Cricetulus griseus: one gene and its partner. The main gene of each other region encodes a partner of the protein of the gene in region 2 in a complex. Links are inferred from orthologs where the notes say so. Each region holds a gene or a part of one and is shown on either strand. Other genes may lie near its edges. The genes, in order: Mmp3 and Timp1.

The links.
Region 1: the proteins of Timp1 (region 2) and Mmp3 are in contact, whole or in part, in a crystal structure (PDB 1UEA), measured with the Homo sapiens proteins. The link is inferred for Cricetulus griseus from reciprocal best matches to the Homo sapiens genes TIMP1 and MMP3. Residues at the interface, in NP_003245.1 of Homo sapiens: Cys24, Thr25, Cys26, Val27, Pro28, Pro29, Val52, Thr56, Leu57, Tyr58, Pro87, Ala88, Met89, Glu90, Ser91, Val92, Cys93, Thr121, Cys122, Leu156, Ser157, Pro159, Gln173, Leu174, Gly177, Glu179; in NP_002413.1 of Homo sapiens: Phe100, Thr102, Phe103, Phe171, Tyr172, Gly178, Asn179, Val180, Leu181, Ala182, His183, Ala184, Tyr185, Ala186, Thr207, Thr208, Gly209, Thr210, Val215, His218, Glu219, His222, Phe227, His228, Tyr237, Pro238, Leu239, Tyr240, His241, Ser242.

What each region holds. Positions count from the first base shown.
Region 1 is NC_048597.1:121,901,762-121,911,526, reverse strand, and holds the start of Mmp3 (stromelysin-1), read right to left. Parts: upstream 5,615-9,765; coding exon 5,501-5,614; intron 4,652-5,500; coding exon 4,407-4,651; intron 4,315-4,406; coding exon 4,166-4,314; intron 3,994-4,165; coding exon 3,868-3,993; intron 1,981-3,867; coding exon 1,816-1,980; intron 1,661-1,815; coding exon 1,516-1,660; intron 537-1,515; coding exon 403-536; intron 33-402; coding exon 1-32. UniProt on the Homo sapiens protein: Metalloproteinase with a rather broad substrate specificity that can degrade fibronectin, laminin, gelatins of type I, III, IV, and V; collagens III, IV, X, and IX, and cartilage proteoglycans.
Region 2 is NC_048604.1:125,720,738-125,730,502, reverse strand, and holds Timp1 (metalloproteinase inhibitor 1), read right to left. Parts: upstream 6,051-9,765; 5' UTR 5,895-6,050; intron 5,042-5,894; exon of another isoform or gene 5,039-5,041; 5' UTR 5,031-5,038; coding exon 4,910-5,030; intron 2,883-4,909; coding exon 2,806-2,882; intron 2,557-2,805; coding exon 2,430-2,556; intron 2,235-2,429; coding exon 2,110-2,234; intron 1,408-2,109; coding exon 1,246-1,407; 3' UTR 1,141-1,245; downstream 1-1,140. UniProt on the Homo sapiens protein: Metalloproteinase inhibitor that functions by forming one to one complexes with target metalloproteinases, such as collagenases, and irreversibly inactivates them by binding to their catalytic zinc cofactor.

The DNA of each region.
Region 1 (9,765 bases), on a different chromosome or scaffold from region 2:
CTCGTGCCCTCGGACAGCCCAGAACTGATCCCCTGTACAGAAACAAAACAGCAACAGAAACAGCAGTCATGTTAAAAGTCCAGTAAGGATGTTGTGGAAATACAATCTTAGCACCTTGTCTTTTTGTGGTGAATAGATTTAGGCCTTAGCTCTAGGATGGTCAGTCAACAAAAATGCACAGCTGGGAACAATGAGCTAGGAACAAATGAGGTGATTTTCAACCCAGTCAATGTATCTCCCTGAGTTCACTTTTTAACTATAAATAAAATGTTGGTTTTATGTGTTTCTTTATTATCTTTGGCTATTTTTTAATTGAACAGAATTTGACATAGTAAAGCCCTGTTCAGTTTTCCCATCAGAAGGCTGTTTCACTAAGTTAAAGCAATGTTGTGGAAGAATCACCTTTAAATATGAAAACAGTGTCTCTGTTAGTAACCTCATATGCGGCATCCATGCTGGAAGGGAGGGAGGGCCAAAATGAAGAAATCAAATAAAAGCCAGCCTCAGGGGTCCTCAAAGATTTTCGCCAAAAATGCCTAAAAAATAGATGTAAAAGAAAAATAGCATTTGAAAAACAGCCTTTTATCTTTAGTGTATTATCCTGGGTGTCAGTGCTAATTCACCCCATGTTCTCTCATCCACTAGTGCTCTCTCTCTCTCTCTCTCTCTCTCTCTCTCTCTCTCTCTCTCTCTCAGACTGCAACAGACCTCCTGTCATAGATTCCCAGAGCAATATCTGTGAAACCAAAGTTCTCCACCATGTCAATTAATTAGTTCAGCATAAGCTTTAAGTACATGTAATAAATGTGAAACAGTGTGTAATTGGTAATTAAAGTACCACTCACACTACCCAAAAAGATAGACAGTGAGTGAGAGGTGTGTGTGCCTGTGCATGGGTGTGATGTATAAATATATCCTTGTACAGAAACATCCAGGATACACAAGAGATCTTGAACTAGGGTATGGTGGCACAGCCCCTAATCCTAGCACTTGGGAAGAGGCAAGAGCATAACAGCTTCCAGCCAGTCTGGGCCTCTCAAAATATCCAGATTGCTTAAGTGTGGAGAAATCTGGGGAAGAAAACTTTCAGCTCCCTTTCATGCAGATGAATGTTTTCTCCCAGGCATACTTACTGAGCAGTACATGAACCGATAAAATATGATGCTTCTCCTAGTGTCATTTTGAAAGAAAGTAAAGATAAAACTCTGCCTCTGAGGATCATTTCTACCCTCTAAACAGATAAACTGTGCTCTGAGGATCATTTCTACCCTCTAAACAACAGCCTATGACTAGAACATCTGGGGACAAAACCTCAGTGACAAGAATCAAACTATCCAGCTTCAAAAATGAACTTGACAGTTTTAGAAACATGTGGAAAGGTCAGTGTCAGATCTGAGAGAGTCCAGGCTTGAGAGTTTGTCTTTAAAATGCTTATATTGATTGTTTTCCTGGTTATTGCCCTTTCTAAGCAATTTTCATAAAAATAGATAGCAATTTAGGGTTCTTGGGTCTGACCTGTCTTTAAAAAACAAGAATTCTCCCCGAAGGGTGCTGACTGCATCAAAGGACAAAGCAGGACTGCACATCAGCGATGATTCAGGTTCCAGAGAGTTAGGTTTGGTGGGTACCACGGGGACATCAGGGGATGCTGGGGGAGGTCCTAAAGGGAACAGGTTAAAGGAGGCAACGTTAAGAGAAATGTGGCCTGCATGTCAATTCTGTGCTCCCCAAACACCCCCAAGGACTCTGAATCTAATCACAAATACTTATGTAACATCACAACAGCCTCAAGTACTCCTTTGTCCCGTCACTCACCGTAGAGGGACTGAATGCCATCCACATCATCTTGAGAGAGACGGAAGCGGGCCAGGTCTCCGGAGGACTTGTAGACTGGGTACATCAATGCTTCAGGCTTGGCTGAGTGAAAGAGGCCCAGTGAGTGGCCAAGTTCATGAGCAGCAACCAGGAATAAGTTGGTACCTATGGAAGAAATCATAAATAATAGTTGCTTATCCTTAACTACATCTACATCATATGGGCCAGTTGACACAGCATTCATTTACTTCCTGAAAACACACAGACTTGTACTCACCTTGTTTGCTGTCTCGTTGAATAATAGACTGACCCCACACTTGGCAGGAAAACAGTATATTTTAAAACTCGTGCTTGAAATCAATCTAAAGTCTCCAAACTCATCCAGTGGTCCCTCTCTTTGACCTCAAACTGTCTGAACAGCAGGTCTCACTCATTGTTGTTAGAAATGGAGCCTGTTATTTATTGTTTAGCATATCAGAGCTCTCTCTTTTCCTTTGTCCAGGAAAAGCTAAAAGTACTCCAGCATGTGATTAGCATTTGACAATTTCAATATCAGCTAACTAATCTCAGGGTAGTATTCATCTTAATTCTAAAACCCTTAAATAACCGGAACCCTACTCTTTCTTTCTTTTCTTTCTTTCTTTCTTTCTTTCTTTCTTTCTTTCTTTCTTTTTTGGTTTTTTTTTCCAGACAGGGTTTCTCTGTGGCTTTGGAGACTGTCCTGGAACTAGCTCTTGTAGACCAGGCTGGTCTCGAACTCACAGAGATCCGCCTGCCTCTGCCTCCCAAGTGCTGGGATTAAAGGTGTGTGACACTACCGCCCAGCATGAACCCTACTCTTTCTATCGGATTTTACCTACATCATTTTATAGCTTCATCATCCTTTTACATACCAAGTGCCAAAAATGGCTAAGGATACAGATGTCATAGGGTTTGTAAAATTGGTTTTAAACATAACATGCATAAGTGTTTATCATAAATGAGGTCTTAGACTCTAACTGTATTCACATTCTCATTAGAGTTGTGTGAAAGAATGCCTTCAGTGCTGAGATCAGGATGTGTGAGGTGATTAGGACTGGCAGAACTTTCCTAAATATTCCCTATGGATGTTGTGGGCCAGAGTGTGTCCTAATTTTGAATAAGGGTCCTCTGGGGGAAATGCTAATTCTACAAAACATGAATTTTATTCAGTGTAAAAGCTAGATTTGTATTTTCAACAGGTATCAGTTTATGTTTTCATTGTGAATCCAGTTCAGTCTCAAAAGCAATACAATTTATTTCAGCCAAGTTTTGAAAACTTAGTCAATCCCTGAAGATAAGAACTAAAAAATCTTCTGCCTAGACAGTTCATTGTACTTCAGGGATAGTTCTCTTTCGGAAACTGATCAAAATTCATCTTAACCAGAAATCACAAAAAGGTGAGCTTAATAAAACCAACCAACCAAAATAAACAAAAATCTCAGATTTCTGAAGTTTCATTTTGGCTTCTAGTTTGAAAAGTAAAAGGGGAAAAACAAGAGTCAAGTAGTGCTCTATTGTACTGCCTGAATATCTACAATTTGATACCATTAGGCAGTCTTTAGTAATAGTAGCCTGTAGATCACACAAGATCCACAACTGTTAAAAATGTAGTGTTTTCCCTTTATCGAGAATAGATTCTTTTCTCATACAATATGTTCTGATTAGATTTTCTACTTCCTCTGCTCCTCCCAGTTCCTCTCCACCTCCCTATCACATCCAGATCCCCTCCCTTTCTGTCTCTCATTGGAAAAGAACAGGGTTCTAAGGGATAACAACAAAATATAGGATAAGACAAAAACCATCACATCTGAGTTGGACAGGTCAAACATTTAGTGACAGATTTTATATTGTGCTTATTAGAAAAATAAATGCATTTTAGTTATCTGGAAATACACTAAGCAATGATTAAAACAAAAAATGTATTCCACTGGAATCCAGAACACATTCTAGCATTAGTACAGCTGATTATGAAAATTTGCCCAAATATGAAAAGAAACTAAACTAAGTCATGCTGTGAGGTAGAGCACTAACCTGTCGTGTCCTCAGTCCACTGTTCATCATCATCAAAGTGAGCGTCTCCATTAATCCCCAGCCCAGGTGCATACGCATGAGCCAAGACTGCTCCAGGCCCATCAAAAGGGATGAAGTCTCCATGTTCTGAAGGGAGAATATATATATATATATATATATATATATATAATATATATATATATATATGTACACACACACACACACACACACACACACACACACCTGCACCAATTGCTAATTAGGACTCAGTAAAACACCACTGGGCAATGTGTGCTTCAGGCAGTTCTTGCATTTTTACCTCCAGCTGCAAAGGAGATCATTATGTCAGCCTCTCCTTCAGAGCGCTTGGAGAACGTGAGTGGGGTCACCTCTTCCCAGACTTTCAGTGCTTTCTCAATGGCAGAGTCCACACTCTCTTTCGGTAAATCTGGTGTATAATTCACAATCCTGCATGAGAGAAGAGGAAGAAGGCAGTGTGTGCTGCTCGATGACTCTGACACAGTGTTAACACGTGTGAAAACTTCGGACCCGTTACCTACCTATAGGTGAGGTGGGTTTCCCTCCACTTTGGTGAACCTGGAAAGGTGCTGAAATCACCGACATCGGGGACGCCACACCTGGGCTTGAGCATCACATCCATAGTGCTGGAGTCCAGCCTCCCTGTCATCTCCAGCCCGAGGAACTTCTGCATTTCTTGGATTTTTTTGACAACAGGACTATTGTTCTTTTTCTCAGTGAACTGCTTCACATCTTTTGCAAGGCCGTAGTAGTTTTCTAAGTATTTCTAAAGGGATCAATGTCACCCTTACGTCACAATTCTGATCTCTTTTAGCTATTGCTATTTTTAGTAAATGTGTGTATTCATATACCTTCATTTCATTTATTCATTCATTCATTCATTCCAGTATCTCACTATCTAACCAAGAAACTCCTTTGAATTCATGCTCTTCTGCATCTGGCTCCTGAACCCTGAGATTACAGGACTGGACTCAAAGCCAGGCAAGGGCTTTACTTTTCTTAGTCTCTTTAACCGATTTTTCTCATTCACTGAAATCATAAGCATACTATTTCATTTAATTTGTCAGTGATAGCTCCTCCTTCTTTGCTTTATTTTTGAAACGCAACATCTCTGTTTGCCACTAAAGCACTGAAAGTGAGGGGATGAATTCATAAGTATTTAGTGCAAAGAAAACTAACAGGAATAAATAAACATTTATGAGAATATTTGTCAGGGTAATTTTATTTAATTTCCCCAATTTTATAGTTTTCACAGGATGTGGCTTGCTAGGGAAAAATTAGGCAAGGCTCTCATTTATTAACACTATTAATATTTTTTCTAAAATGTAATGGACTCAAACTGTAAAGGAAGGTCCGAAGCAAGGCACAGTTCATGCTCTTTTTCCTTATCACACCTTTACCTCCAGCGTTAGTGCTGCTGCTTCCGCCATGCTGTGTGATATTGAAAGTATTTATGGCCTTTGTTTCCTCTCATACAAAAGGAAGAATCATGTGATATTGAGACCCAACAGCTTCTAAGCCTCCTCCACTGTGGAATCACTCATTCACAAGCAGTCAGAACCGATCTATATAATGTAAAGCTGTGCCCTGCCGAAGAGCATGGAGGCCAACTTACCTGAAGAAGCTCCATACCGGTGTCCTCCTCCCTTGCACTACCACCATACAGAGGGTAGGCTGAGCAAACTGCTCCACACAGCCATAGCGGGACCAGGACCAAGAGACTCTTCATTTCCGCTGGCTTTCCTCAGCTCTATGCTGCCTTTGCCGTGTTCTCTGCCCACCTCCTTCTACAAACACCCTCCTGAACCCAAGTTTTATAGAGTAACAGTGCTTTTAGGGATGACCCACAAACTGACTCATCATTGCTTCCACCCAAATGGGACTGCTTCCAAAAGCCGAAAATCAAAGTAGGGTGTTACAACTTTCTTTACCAAGTTCTCTGAACCTTCTGAATTTTGCAAGGCAAAACAGTGATTAATCGCCAGGAAATGCTTCCTGCCTGGCAGGAGAGAAAACTGGGATTTTTTTTTTTTAATTTGGAAAACTTAATTATAGTTCAGACACAGTAATGTTTGTGACTCGGATAGAAGTGGACTAACTTGGTAAAAGGCCCAAGTTGTGCAGAACTTCTAGAAGCCAAAGCTAAATACAGTGAGATGTGGGTAAGGAAAATAAATACCTATATAGATAGCTACACTTAATACTATATGTCACCACAGCCCATATACTATATTCCACACACAGGATGGAATATCCAGAAGGAAACCTAAAGGAAAAAACCCACCACTGATTTCTTTTATTTTTTTCCTTCAGATTTTTAAAATTTGAATTAGAAACAAGATTGTTTTATATGACAATCCTACTTCCCTTCTCCCTCCCACCCTCCCCTACCCTCCAACTAAAACACATATCCTTTCTGCTCCCCAGATGGTGAGGTCTTCCATAGGGTGTCATCAGAATCTATCATAGCCTTTGGGATAGAGCCTGGGCCCATCCCCACATGTCTTGGTTCAGGGAGTATGCCTCTGTGTGGAATGGGCTCCCAAAGTCCACGCCTATGCTAAGGATAAGTACTGTAGATTTCCGAGGTTTCCTCAATGAAATCCATGTTCCTGGGTCAGTCCCATGCTGGTATCCCAGCTATCAGTCTGGGGAGCAAGAGTTCTCCGATGTTCAGGTCAGTTGTCTCTGTGGGTTTCACCAGCCTGATCTGGACCCCTTTGCTCTTCACTCATCCTCTGCATCTGGATTCCAGTTCAGTTCAGTGGTAAGTTGTGGGTGTCTGCTTCTACATCCACCAACTGCTGAAAGAGGGCTATCAGGTGCCATATAAGTCAGTCATCAATCTTGTTATGGGGGGGCATTAAAGGGCATTAAAGAGTAGCCTCTCCTCTGTTGCTTAGATTGTGAGCTGGTGTCATCTTTGTAGATCTCCAGACATTTCCCTAGTGCCTGATTTCTCTGCAAACCTAAAATGTCTCCTTCTATTATAGTATCTCCATTCTTTTTATCCTCTATTCTTCACCTGACTCAAACTTTCTGCTCCCTCATGTCCTCTGCATCCCTCCTTTTCTTCCCTTCTCATTCTCCTAGCTCCCTTCCCCTTCTTCCCCTGCTCTCAATTTGCTCAGAGGATCTTGACCCTTTCCCCTTCTCCAGGGGACTATGTTTGTCTCTTTCAGGGTACTCCTTATTTACTAGCTTCTCTGGCAGTGTAGATTGTAGGCTGGTAATCCTTTACTCTATGTCTAAAATCAGCATATGAGTGAGTACATACCATGTTTCTCTATTTGTGATTGGGTTACCTCGCTCAGATTGTTTCTTCTAGTTCCATCCATTTTCCTGCAAATTTCAAGATTCCATTGTTTTTTTTTTCCGCTGAGTAGTACTCCATTGTGTAAATGTACCACATTTTCTGTATCCATTCTTCAGTTGAGGGGCATCTAGGTTGCTTCCAGTTTCTGGCTATTACAAATAGTGCTGCTATGAACATCGTTGAACAGATGTCCTTGTTGTATGAATGTGCTTCTTTTGGGTATATGCCTAATAGTGGAATTGCTGGATCTTGTGGTAGACTGATTCCCATTTTCTTGAGGAGTCACCATACTGATTTCCAAAGTGGTTGTACAAACTGGCACTCCCACCAGCAGTGGAGAAGTGTTCCCCTTTCTCCACATCCTCTCCAGCATAAACTGAAATTGGCGTTTTTGATTTTGGCCATTCTGACAGGAGTAAGATGGTATCACAGAGTTATTTTAATTTGCATTTCCCTGATGGCTAAGGATGTTGAACACTTTCTTATGTGTCTTTCGGCCATTTTAGATTCCTCTATTGAGAATTGTCTATATAGTTCTGTACCACACTTTTAATTGCATTTTTTTTTTTTTTTTTTGGTGATTTGGAGACTAGCTTCTTGAGTTCTTTGTATATTTTGGAGATCAGCCCTCTGTCAGATGTGGGGTTGGTTAATATATTTTCCCAGTCTGTGGGCTATGTTTTGTCTTGCTGACTTTGTCCTTTGCCTTATAGAAGCTTCTCAGTTTCAGGAAGTCCCATTTATCAATTGGTTGATCTCAGTGTCTGTGCTACTGGTGTTATGTTCAGGAAGCAGTCTCCTGTTTCTTCATGTGGGCATTTAGCACTATGAACTTTCCTCTTAGCACTGCTTTCAAAATATTCCATAGGTTTGGATATGTTGTGTCCGCATTCTCATTGAATTCTAGGAAATCTTTAATTTCTTTTTTTATTTCTTCCTGGACCCATGAATTGTGCAATTGGGTGTTACTTAATTTCCATGAGTTTGTAGGTTTTCTGTAATTCGTGTTGTTGTTGAATTCTAACTTTAAAGCATGGTGGTCTGATAAAATACAGGGGGTTATTTCAAGTTTTTTGTACCTGTTGAGGTTTGCTATGTTGCTGAGTATGTGGTTGATTTCAGAGAAGGTTCCATGTGGCACTTAGAAGAAGGTGAATTGTTTTGTATTTGGATGGAATATTCTATACATATCTGTTAAGTCCAATTGTGCCATAACTTCTATTAGTTCCTTTGTTTCTTTTTTAAGTTTCTGTCTGGTGTTCCTGTCCAGTGATGAGAGTGGGGTGATGAAGTCTCCCACTATAAGTGTGTGCGGTTTTATGTGTGATTTGAGTTTTAGTAATGTTTCTTTTACAAACGTGGATGCCTTTTTATTTGGGGCATAAATGTTCAGAACTGAGACTTTATCCTGATGGATTTCTCCTGTGGATGGGTAGGAAGTGACCTCCTTCATCTCTTTTGATTGATTTTAGTTTAAAATCCAGTTTGTTGGATATTAGGAATGCTACCTCTGCTTGTTTCTTGGGTCCATTTGATTGGAAAATCTTTCCCCAACCTTTAATTCTTAGGTACCATCTGTCTTTGAAGTGTGTTTCTTATATGCAGCAGAAGGAAGGATTCTGTCTTCTTATCCATTCTGCTAATCTGTGTCTTTTTATAGGGGAGTTAAGACCATTAATGTTGATGGATATTAATCACCATTGATTGTTCATTCTTGTTTGCTTTTGATTTGGTGATCATGGCAAGATTATGTGTAGGATTCTATTCCTTTTCCATTTGGCTATTGGTAAAGTGGGATTATCTATTGCCTGTATTCTGGTTGTAGTTAACTTCCTTGGGTTGCAGTTTTCCTTCCAGAAATTTCTGTATGGCTGGATTGGTGGATATGTATTGTTTGAATCTGGTTTTGTCATGGAATATCTTGTTTTCTCCATCTATATTGACTGAAAGCTTTGCTGGGTACAGTAGTCTGGGTTGGCATCCATGCTCCCTTAGTGTTTGTAGAATATCTATCCAGGACCTTCTGGCTTTCAGAGTTTCCATGGAAAAGTCAGGTGTAATTCTGATAGGTTTGCCTTTATAGGTTACTTGACCTTTTTCGTTTCCTGCTCTTAATATTTTCTCTTTCGTCTGAATGTTTGGTATTTTTATTATTATGTGGTGAGGAGACCTTATTTTTGGTCCAGTCTATTTGGTGTTCTGTAGGCTTCTTGTATTTTCATTGGCATGTCTTTCTTTAGGTTAGGAAAGTTTTCTTCTATGATTTTGTTGAATATGTTTTCTGGGCCTTTGAGTTGGATTTTTTCACCTTCTTCTATACCTATTATTCTTAGGTTTGGTCTTTTCACTGTATCCCATATTTCCTGGATATTTTGTGTTAGGGATTTGTTGGACTTAAGATTTTCTTTGGTTGATTAGTCTATTTTTGCTAGTGTGTCTTCAACTCCTGAGATTCTCTCTTCCATCTCTTGTATTCTGTTGGTTATGCTTATGTCTGTAGTTCCTGGTTGTTTACCCAGTTTTTCTATTTCCAGAATTCCCTCAGATTGTGCTTTCTTTATTGT
Region 2 (9,765 bases):
ACTTAAGTCAGATTTAGGAAGTATAACAGCTTGGATGAGGCATCTTCACTAGACTACATTAGGATAATGCCAGAGGCAAGGAGAGATTGATAGGGCAGTTTTCAATGAATTTGTCAATGGGGTGATATTTGTGAATAGGGGAATTTTCAACTGGATAATTTACTAACTAGAGAAGCTTGGGCAAGTAGGAATTAGAAATTTCTCTAGTAGGCATGGTGTGGTGGCAAATGTCTATAATCCCAGCAATCAGGAAACAGGGAGGAGAATTACAGCAAGTGTGAGAGGCCAGCCTGTCTCAAAAAGGGGTGCAAAATGGAGCTGGAGAGATGTCTTAGTGAATAAAGCACTTGTCATGCAAGTATGAGGACCTAAAATTGAATCCCCAAATCCACACAAAGCTGGGCAGTGGTAATTTGCATCTGTTTGTAAACTGGAAGAAAGGAGAATCCCAGCCTGCTGTATGCAGTAAACAATGAGACCCTGTCTCAGATAAAGTAAGGTCAGACACCCAAGGCTGTCATTTGACTGTCATGGCATGTATAAGCCTTTACTGGTACACATTAACACATAGAGAAAGACAAAAAGGAAACAAAAATAATAATAATCAGCTTTGCACAGTGGCAGTATCGGAGCCAATGAGGTTTATCCGAGGCGCGATTATTGCTAATTGAAAAAAAAAATCACTGTACTAAGATGTCTCAAAGTATTGAGTAGAGAAATATTCAATAGATTGGAGTTGGTAATGCAAAGTGAGTAATCATTACTGATTTTTCAGGTTCCAGTACTAATGCCAATGTTTAGATTATTACCAATATATTATTTTTTTGTAAAGTATAAAAACCCAACACTTTTTCCTTTTTTTTTCTTGTTTCAGATTTTGGAAACAGGGTAGTATGTAGTCCTGGCTGTCCTAGAATTCTCTCTCTCTCTGTAGACTAGGTTGGCCTTTGTTCCTTTCTTTTTTGCTAGAGATTGACCCTGAGGCTTTGTACATGAAAAACAGCTGCTCTACCACTAAGTTACATTTCCAGCCTCCAAACTCAACATTTCAAATGGATTCATTTTTCATTGGACCCTGGATGCTCCCACCAGGTTATCATTGTCTTGAGTTTGTTCCCAGACACTACACTGAAACGGCACTGCTGTGTGGTAGTTCTTTATTTCACTGTCTAAAAGAAAGAAAGATGGAGGGGAGGGGAGCAGTGTGCAGGCTTCAGCTTCCACTGGGGGTAGGCTTTGGGTCATCTAGGCCCTCAGGGATTGCCAGGCACACAACTGTGGATTCCGAGGCAAGCAGGCAAAGTTACGGCTCTGGTAGCCCTTCTCAGAGCCCGTGAGGATCTGATCTGTCCACAAGCAATGAGTATCACTCTCCAGTTTGCAAGGCATGGTTGAACAGGGAAACACCTGGAAGATGAGAGAAAGGTCCACTCTGGGGGCTTCTTCTTCCCCTGTTCCCTCCCCTATGGAGAGTGTTCCACTCTCCTTCTGGCAACACAGAGCAGCTGGGAAGGCTTGACATTGCCCCACCTGTGTTTAGACCCGAGAACAGCTTCTCCCATTTGGGGAACAGAAAGCCAGTGTTCTGGAATGGTGGGTAGGAAACTATCTCTTGAAGTCACTCAGGCAGGCCTCACAGGGCAGAGAACTGAGTAGAGGGTAACAGTTGGCATGCAGAGAGGTTAAGCATAAGAATAGGCAACGGGGCTCTCAGACAGTGACTGAGGTCAGAGGATATTTATTGCTGTCAGGGAACAGTTTTGAAATAGCCAGGTCGACATATCCCTGTGGATTTGGAAAATCACACGTTGAATTCTTGCAGAACATGCCTGGGAAGCCAAACCCAATCTTGGGAGATCAGAAACAGACAGCAGTATTTCAGAGTAGACACAAAAGAAAAGTTAGAGAGGCAGAGAAGGTTCAGGGAACATGCAGTCCCAAGATAATAGAACAACCAGTATCTCCAAAAGAGCAGGTTTGGGACAACAAGAGAAATTAAAGGCAGTGGTTGGGTTTGGGAAGCAGCTACAATAACAAAGAATAGCCAGAGGGAAAAAGAAACCGTTCCAGGTATTATCTCCAGAAAGAGAGCTGGTTCTAGGAACTTACTGTGCACACCCCACAGCCAGCACTATACGTCTTTGAGAAGGCTTTTTGCTGAGCAGGGGTCAGGCTATACCAGGGAACCAAGAAGCTGCAGGCACTGATGTGCAAACTTCCATTCCTTAGGCGTCCTGTAAGGGAATGGAGAAACCAACAGGCTTTTGATTGGCCGGGTGGTGCTGGGGTTACCTGATTAGCATTAGTTTACAAACCTTCCCGCCCCCATTTCAACCAGGTCCTTTCCCTTTAGAGCCTCGCTCCTCCCAGTTGCCAGGAAGCATCTGAGGATGAAGGGGTGTGGCCCAAAGCGAAGGGGCGGGCCTCACCCGCGATGAGAAACTCCTCGCTGCGGTTCTGGGACTTGTGGACATATCCGCAGAGGCTCTCAAGGGCTGGGGTGTAGGCGAACCGGAAATCTGCGGCATTTCCCACAGCGTCGAATCCTTTGAGCATCTGCCCATGAGTGACAAAAAGTCTATCTTTTACTGATTTAATCCTCCCACTCCATTACCTCTTAACCTGATGTCATATATCTAAATCACAAAATTATGGGAAACGTCCACACCAACCAAAGGCTAGATGCTAGTATTTTGAGGAGGAGGAAGAGGTTAATATGGCTATGGAGGGAGACAGGGAAAGAGGAGGGAGGGAGAGAGGGAGAGAAGGAGGGAGGAAGGGAGGGAGGGAGGAAGGAAGGAATACCTTAGTCATCTTGATCTCATAACGTTGGTATAAGTTGAAAATGATTTCTGGGGGCCCCATGAATTTAGCCCTTATGACTAGAAAGGAAGGGGAAAATAAGGAGTTAAGTGAGCAGCATGAACCCATAACAGCAAAACATATATACAAGCATAATTCTAATAGAGACAGCACACTTAATGGTTTCCATGTTTCCATGTCTGTTGATTGATTCATCTATACATTGTCTACTCTTCCAGGTACTGTTTTAAGCACTTTTCATATATCCATCTGTTGGCTTTCTCAACAAATATTTTGGAGTGCCTGATATATGCAGCCACTGTTCAGGGTGTTAGGGACACAACAGTGACCCAAACACAGGAATCCATTTCCTTGTGGATCTCACATTCAAGCCAGGAGGATATAACTAAAATTAAGTAGCCAGGCATGGTGGCACAAACCTGTAACCCCAGCTCTGTCAAGGTGATGAAGGAGGACCACTACAGTGTGAGTTCAAGACCAGTCTAGACAATTTAGTGAGACCCTGTTTTAAAATGAAATTCACAAAAGGGTTGGGTTTGTACCTCAATTTGCTTAGCATATGAAAAGTCCTAGGTTCAATCCCCAGTATGGAGAAAAAGGTATATGGATTGTTAAAGGCTGTTAAGTATGATGGAGAATTAGAAAAGGGAGGAGATTGACACATATTCTTTGCTTGACCACAATTTACTCAGGCTCATTAACCTTCTTCCAAGCTTATAAGTGCAGTTTCTCTTAAAAATGCAGTTGTAGATGCCAGGTGGTGGTGGTTCACACCTTTAATACCAGCAATCGGGAGGCAGAGGCAAGCAGATCTCTGTGAATTTGAGGCAAGCCTGGTCTACAGATAGGAGTTCCAGGACTGCCAGGGATGTTACACAGATAAGCCCTGTCTCGAAAAACCAAAAAAAAAAAAAAAAGAAAAGAAAAGAAAAGAAAAAGAAAAAGAAAAATCCACTTGTACCAAAGTATACTAAATCAGTTTAGTGAAAAACCCACCCTCATCTGACTCTCCTCGATATGTGAAGGGGCTCCATATTTTCCACTGACCATCAGGTGATTACACTGGCCAGTTCTCAGCAAGAGTCCTGAACTGGGTATGGTGGCACAGGCCTGTAATCTCGGCACTTGGAAGGCTGAGTGAGGAGGATGAAGGGTTCAAAGCCAGCCTGGGCTACATAGTGAGACCTACTCTCAAAAAAGTGAGCTCATGGGCTCGAGAGATGTCTTAATGGTTCAGAACACTTGCTGCTCTTCTAGAGAACCCAAGTTTGATTCCCAGCATCCACATAGCATGGCTCACAACCACTTGTAACTCCAGCTCCAGGGGATCTGATGCCTTCTGGATTCCACAGGCACCTGCACACCACACATGGTGCACACACACATAGACATAAATAAAAATAAACCTTTTTGTTTTTTTTTTTCGAGACAGGGTTTCTCTGTGTAGCTTTGGAGCCTATCCTGGCACTCACTCTGGAGACCAGGCTGACCTCGAACTCACAGAGATCAGCCTGCCTCTGCCTCCTGAGTGCTGGGATCAAAGGCGTGTGCCACCGACGCCCAGCAAAAATAAATCTTTTTTTAAAAAATGGGCTTAGCCTGAATCTTTTTACTCCTTGCCTGTGATATTTCTTCTCAGTGATTTCCCAGTCACCAATCCCTAAACTGTTCCTTGGCTGTAGAGTTCCATTTGCCTATGCTATGTTGAGAGTTAAGCCCAATCTCTCTCCCTGACTGAAAAATCTGATTGCCATGGTCCTGAATAAAGTCTGCCTTTCTGTGCCCTAAGAAGTGTAATTCACAGTTTTATTTAACAGGGAATCAGATGTACTATATGGCAGGGATTAAAATTTAAACAAAGTAGACAGGCACCCCAGTAAGATGACTCTTGAGGTAGCCACCCATGTGAATAACTACAGAGAAATATCTACCTGGGAGGGAACAGCCAACACAAAGGTGGGCTTAGGCCTAAGGATGTCAATATGGCCAAAGTGGATCTATGCAAGGGTAAGTACAACTGTTGTAGAGATAACTGCCATCATGAGCCCTATTGGACTAAGAGGCACAGAAAGGGGGCTAGACTCACCCAGGTCGGAGTTGCAGAAGGCTGTCTGTGGGTGGGGTGGGGCACAGCTACAGGCCTTGCTGGAGGTTATCAGTGATAGCAACAAGAGGATGCCTGAGGCCAGAGATGCAAAGGGGGCCATAGTGGTATCTGCTGGGAGAGACAAGGTAGTAGTTGATCCCCAGCCCAACTGATCTGTTTACCCATTGGCCCTAGGGAGATTAGGGAACCCTGAGAATCTTAAGGGGTGAGAAACCTGGAGAGGTTTAGGGGCTTAAACAGTTGGGAAAGTTTTGGGTTTTATTGAGTTCCAGTGATTTAGGAGACAGTGAATAGGAAGATAATGGAGTTGTGGCAGTTGATGAGTCCAGGAGCTGAGAAGTTTGAGAATTTAGTGGAGTTGGAGAAGTCTGGAGACTGACATTTGTGGAGTCAAGAATTTGGGGTTTGGGAAACTGGAGAAGTATAAGGGGAGGCTGGGAGCTGAGGGAGATTAAGATATAATGGGCATGGGGATTTGTGGCTACTAAGGGTTTTAGAGGAGGTTTGGGATTTTAGGAAACTGGGGGAAATTTAGGGGTTATGGGGTCTGGGGGAATTTGGGAGTTTAAGGTAATGGGAGTGTTGAGGAATTTGAAGGCAGAAGAACTTTTGAAGTTCCAGGAGCTGGACATGGCAAAGTTTGAGGGCAGGGGGAGTTAAGGGAGCTATAGGGGTTTGGGGGAACAATGAAAAATTCAGAGGAGTTGGCAAGTTGGGAGGTCTTTAAGGCATTAGAGGCTTGTGGGTTTGGAGCACTTGGGGATGAATGCTAGGGGCATGAGGGAGTCCGGAGAGTCTAGCTTGGGATACTCATTCCAAAAACCTTCCCTTCGTATTCCCCCTTGGCCAAATAGAGGTCTTGATACCTGCAAGCCCAGTCAAGCAGCTAGTCTGGCAGGGAACCGGATGTGCCTGGTGGTCGCACCAACACAGGCTCCAGCCAGGACACCCGGCTCCCACTTACCTCTGGTGTCTCTCTAGAAGCCCGATCTGCGGCGATGGCGGCAGGGACTGAGCGGTGAAGAATAAATGTCCATGCAAGGGGCGGAGTTGGCGCGGAAATCACAGCCTCCAGGCTTCCTGGACGCATTACTCATCCACCCACCGCAGGAATCGAAGCCTAGGGGCGGGCCGGAGGACCGGCCTAAAGATACTCCCTCCACTGCCAGCCAGCCCACTGTGCCCCTTCCCCCCAGCTCCACGTCACTCGCATTCCTCCCTGGCGGCCTTGAAGGGGAAATGGAAAGGCAGCCCAAGCCCCCACAGCCCTGTGCTTATCCAGTTCCCTACATTCCCCAAACTTCCTATGGCTGAAGCCAATGGCTTCATTCCTGCGCCTTAGTACATCTACTTTGTTGCAAGGCCGGCTTTCCTAGTGGACCTGGCGTTTTTGTTGAGGGGTGGCAGAGGGGAAGACAAACTAGAAAAAGAGTTGAGGGCCATGAGATGGGAGAAGAGACACAAATACATAGTGAGGAAATTGATTCACCGAGAGTGTCTGTTATTTTTTGAAGATGGCAGTTAAGTGTGTCAGAACTGGGAGAGGAACTGAGGTGGCCTGCAGATAGAGCTTAGGTGGTAACCTATCCCCAAAAGTTTGCTGTGGTTGTACACATGAGTGAGCCTAGAACTTAGGATGTTTGAAGATAGTCTGTGCTACGAGAGACCCTGTCTTAAGCAGAAACAAAATCAAGCAGGCAAATAGCTGAAGTGAAGAACTTTGCCAGGGTCACAGAACAAAACTGGGATTTAAACCTGGGCTTCTTGACACTGAGATCCTCACTCAGGCGGAGCCCAATCTTGGCAACCAGGGAATAGTGTGGTGAGAATGGGGGGAGTGAGGGTGTGGATGATGGTGAAAGAAGCTAGTGAGTCAGTAGAAAACCCATCCCCACCCCATCCTGCCCAGCTCCTTTCCCACCAACCAGCCCACATCCCTGGTGGGGTGGGATGAGGCAACTACTGCCCACCCGCTTCCTGATGATGCAGGGATATTCTCTGGGGTCGTGTGGAAGGTTCTATGGGATGATTAACACCCTCAATTAATCCAGGCAGGGTAGACCAATAGTAATGACAATGGCTGTAATCCCAGCAGGCAAGTGGATCCGGAGAGTTTGAGGATAGCCTGGTCTACATAGTGAGTTCCAGGACAGCCTGGAACATACATAGTGAGACCTTGTCACACACACACACACACACACACACACACACACACACACACACACACACACACACACACAAAATGATAATGATAGTGATGACAGCAGCTACTTGGTTGAGCACTTACTGTGTACTATTGCTAAGATCTTTGTGTACAGTCATTTTAGCTAATTAAATTTTGTTAATTTAGATTAGCTCAATAACCACAGCATACAAAAACCTACTGCCAGCACTCAACAGAACCCTCACCATATACAAAAGATTTCTTATATTTATTCAGTGTGTGTGTGTGTGTGTGTGTGTGTGTGTGTGTGTGTGTGTAGCTGTACTCATGCTTGTATTGCTCTCCACCTGCAGGAGCCAGTCCTCTCCTTCCCTACGAACTCACACTCAGGTTGTCAGGCAGCAAGCACTGGATTTTTTGTTCCTTCATTTGCTATTGTCCTCATTCTCCCTTAATGTCAATTAATGAAGAGTTGTCAAATCAGTAATAACAGCGATAATAGTAACCAGCACTTTGAAGATTCGGGTTTACTTTATGTGTATACTAAGATTTTTTCCCCTCTGAAGTAATTGATTTATTCTTCCCAACATGCCTGTGAGTTACAATTCATATTTTCATTATTTAATGAGAAAATAGAGACAGAAAGGGGTCAAATGGCCTGTCCAGGAATGATAGTGAAGAAATCACTGTGGTGGGGAGGTAGGGATACAAAGAAAGGAACAAAGGAAAGGAAACCAAAATTCTCAACTGTCTGATTGTGAAAGTGAGGAGTGAGAGTAGATGAGACAGGGCTGAGTAAGTAGGTGGCGGGACTGAGGAGAAGTAAAGAGAGGGAAAGTCCAGTCTCTCCTCTATGACCCTGCTTCTGACACCAGCTCTTTATAAAACCTGAGTCAGCCCACTTTTGCCAACTGGTTACATGTGAGGATTTTGATTGTTGTGCAGGTTTGAAATGCAGTGGGGTGGATGTCAAGGTGTTTGGCTTGTCTCTATCTGGGGAACTGGGTAAGTGTGAGGAATTCACTGGCATGTGCAAATACCTGATGATCCCCAAGAAAGTGTTAAGTGCTTGGTCTTGATTATACCTTTTGTGCAGATCAGGAAACTGAGGCCCAGAGAGATGGTATCTACCCGGGATCTCACCCGGCCTTAGGAAGAAGGCCAAGATAGCAGGTTACGGCTCTCCAGGAAATCCCAAGCCCTCTGTATGTACATATGACAGACAGACACACTTACATGCACACACAGCACTGTGTTCAAGCTCAGGAACAGAGGAAACAAAGTTGGTTTATAAAAAGGATCCAGAAAGCTCAGCAAGTAGAAGTAGGTATGCTTGCATGTGCACAGCTCTCTGGTGTGTCTGTGCCTCTGTGACTGGCATGTGTCCCTTGGTGGGCTCAATTTCCCTTCCTGAGAGCCAGGCATATATCTAAGGGTGTTTCTTCTGAGAGTTGAAGGTTGCAAATATAACTGTGCATGCCTCATACTTCTCTGTGTGATGAGTAGACGCCTGAGTGGGAGATCTCTCTCTTCTCACACGCAACACATACCTTGGCATTGTTTCTTTGGCCTGCTGCCTGGATGACACCCTTACCGCCATCCCCCTTTCCAAACCCATGCCACTCAGCCCTCCCCCCATCCTCATGACGACACACATTTGGGAAATGAGGGAGGAGGAAGTTGTAGAGGGAGGGAGAGACCTGAAGGTCAATCAGTCACCCTTAGACTATGGGGCTTCCTGTGCTTCTTGGGAACTGCCACTGCCCAGGAACCCCTCTAAGAATGCATTCCCTGCCCTGTCAGTAGGAGGCAGGGGCTCTGAATTTATACACGGGATATGATGGGGCTAGGGTCCTCTAATCTGGTCCCTTCTACCCAGCCCAGGTTATAGGGAAACTTAACACATCTTTACCTAACTCATAATTGTCTGCATTTATGTCCACACCCAGGAGTGTTGTCTGTGTGTTTGATTTTCTGTATGTTTGTGTCATAGATATGGAAAAATAATTTTGCATCAAGATATACTTTTCATGGACCCAGGAATGTAATGAGGTCTGAGTTATAGGAATTTGGTTATGGAAATGCCTAAACGTGCACACACGTTCTGCATGTTGTTTTGATCCTTCTGTTCATTGTGGACATGCTGGGGAGTGATGCATATGTCCATTTATTGTGTGCTTCTAGCGTTGTGTGTGCTTCTATACTGAATGAGTGGCTCTTTCTGTTAGGTAGGTGTGAGCAAGGGGAGGGAGCTCATGTGTGTGCTCCAAGGTGCCGATTGTAGGTCTTAGGAGTGTGAAGAGCATGCTGTTCGGGCGTGCTCACATGCTAAGAGCAAGTGAGCTGACTGACTGGATTTCTTCGAAGCCCCCGATGTGATTTAAGCCTGTGGTGGTCTTTCTCAATGCATATGGACTTCTCAATAGATGTGGACACCTCTGACTTTGGCTGGGTAATCTCACTTTTGAAGGGATGTGTGTGTGTGTGTGTGTGTGTGTGTGTGTGTGTGTGTGTGTGTGTGTGTACATAAAGATGAAACTTACATGCAAGGCTTGACTGAAGACATTCTGCATGCTAACTACCACACCTTCATACACACACTCACTCCAATAGCTAATCATCATAAAAACAAACTTTCTTTTCTGGGAAATTCCCTCACCCTTATCTAAGG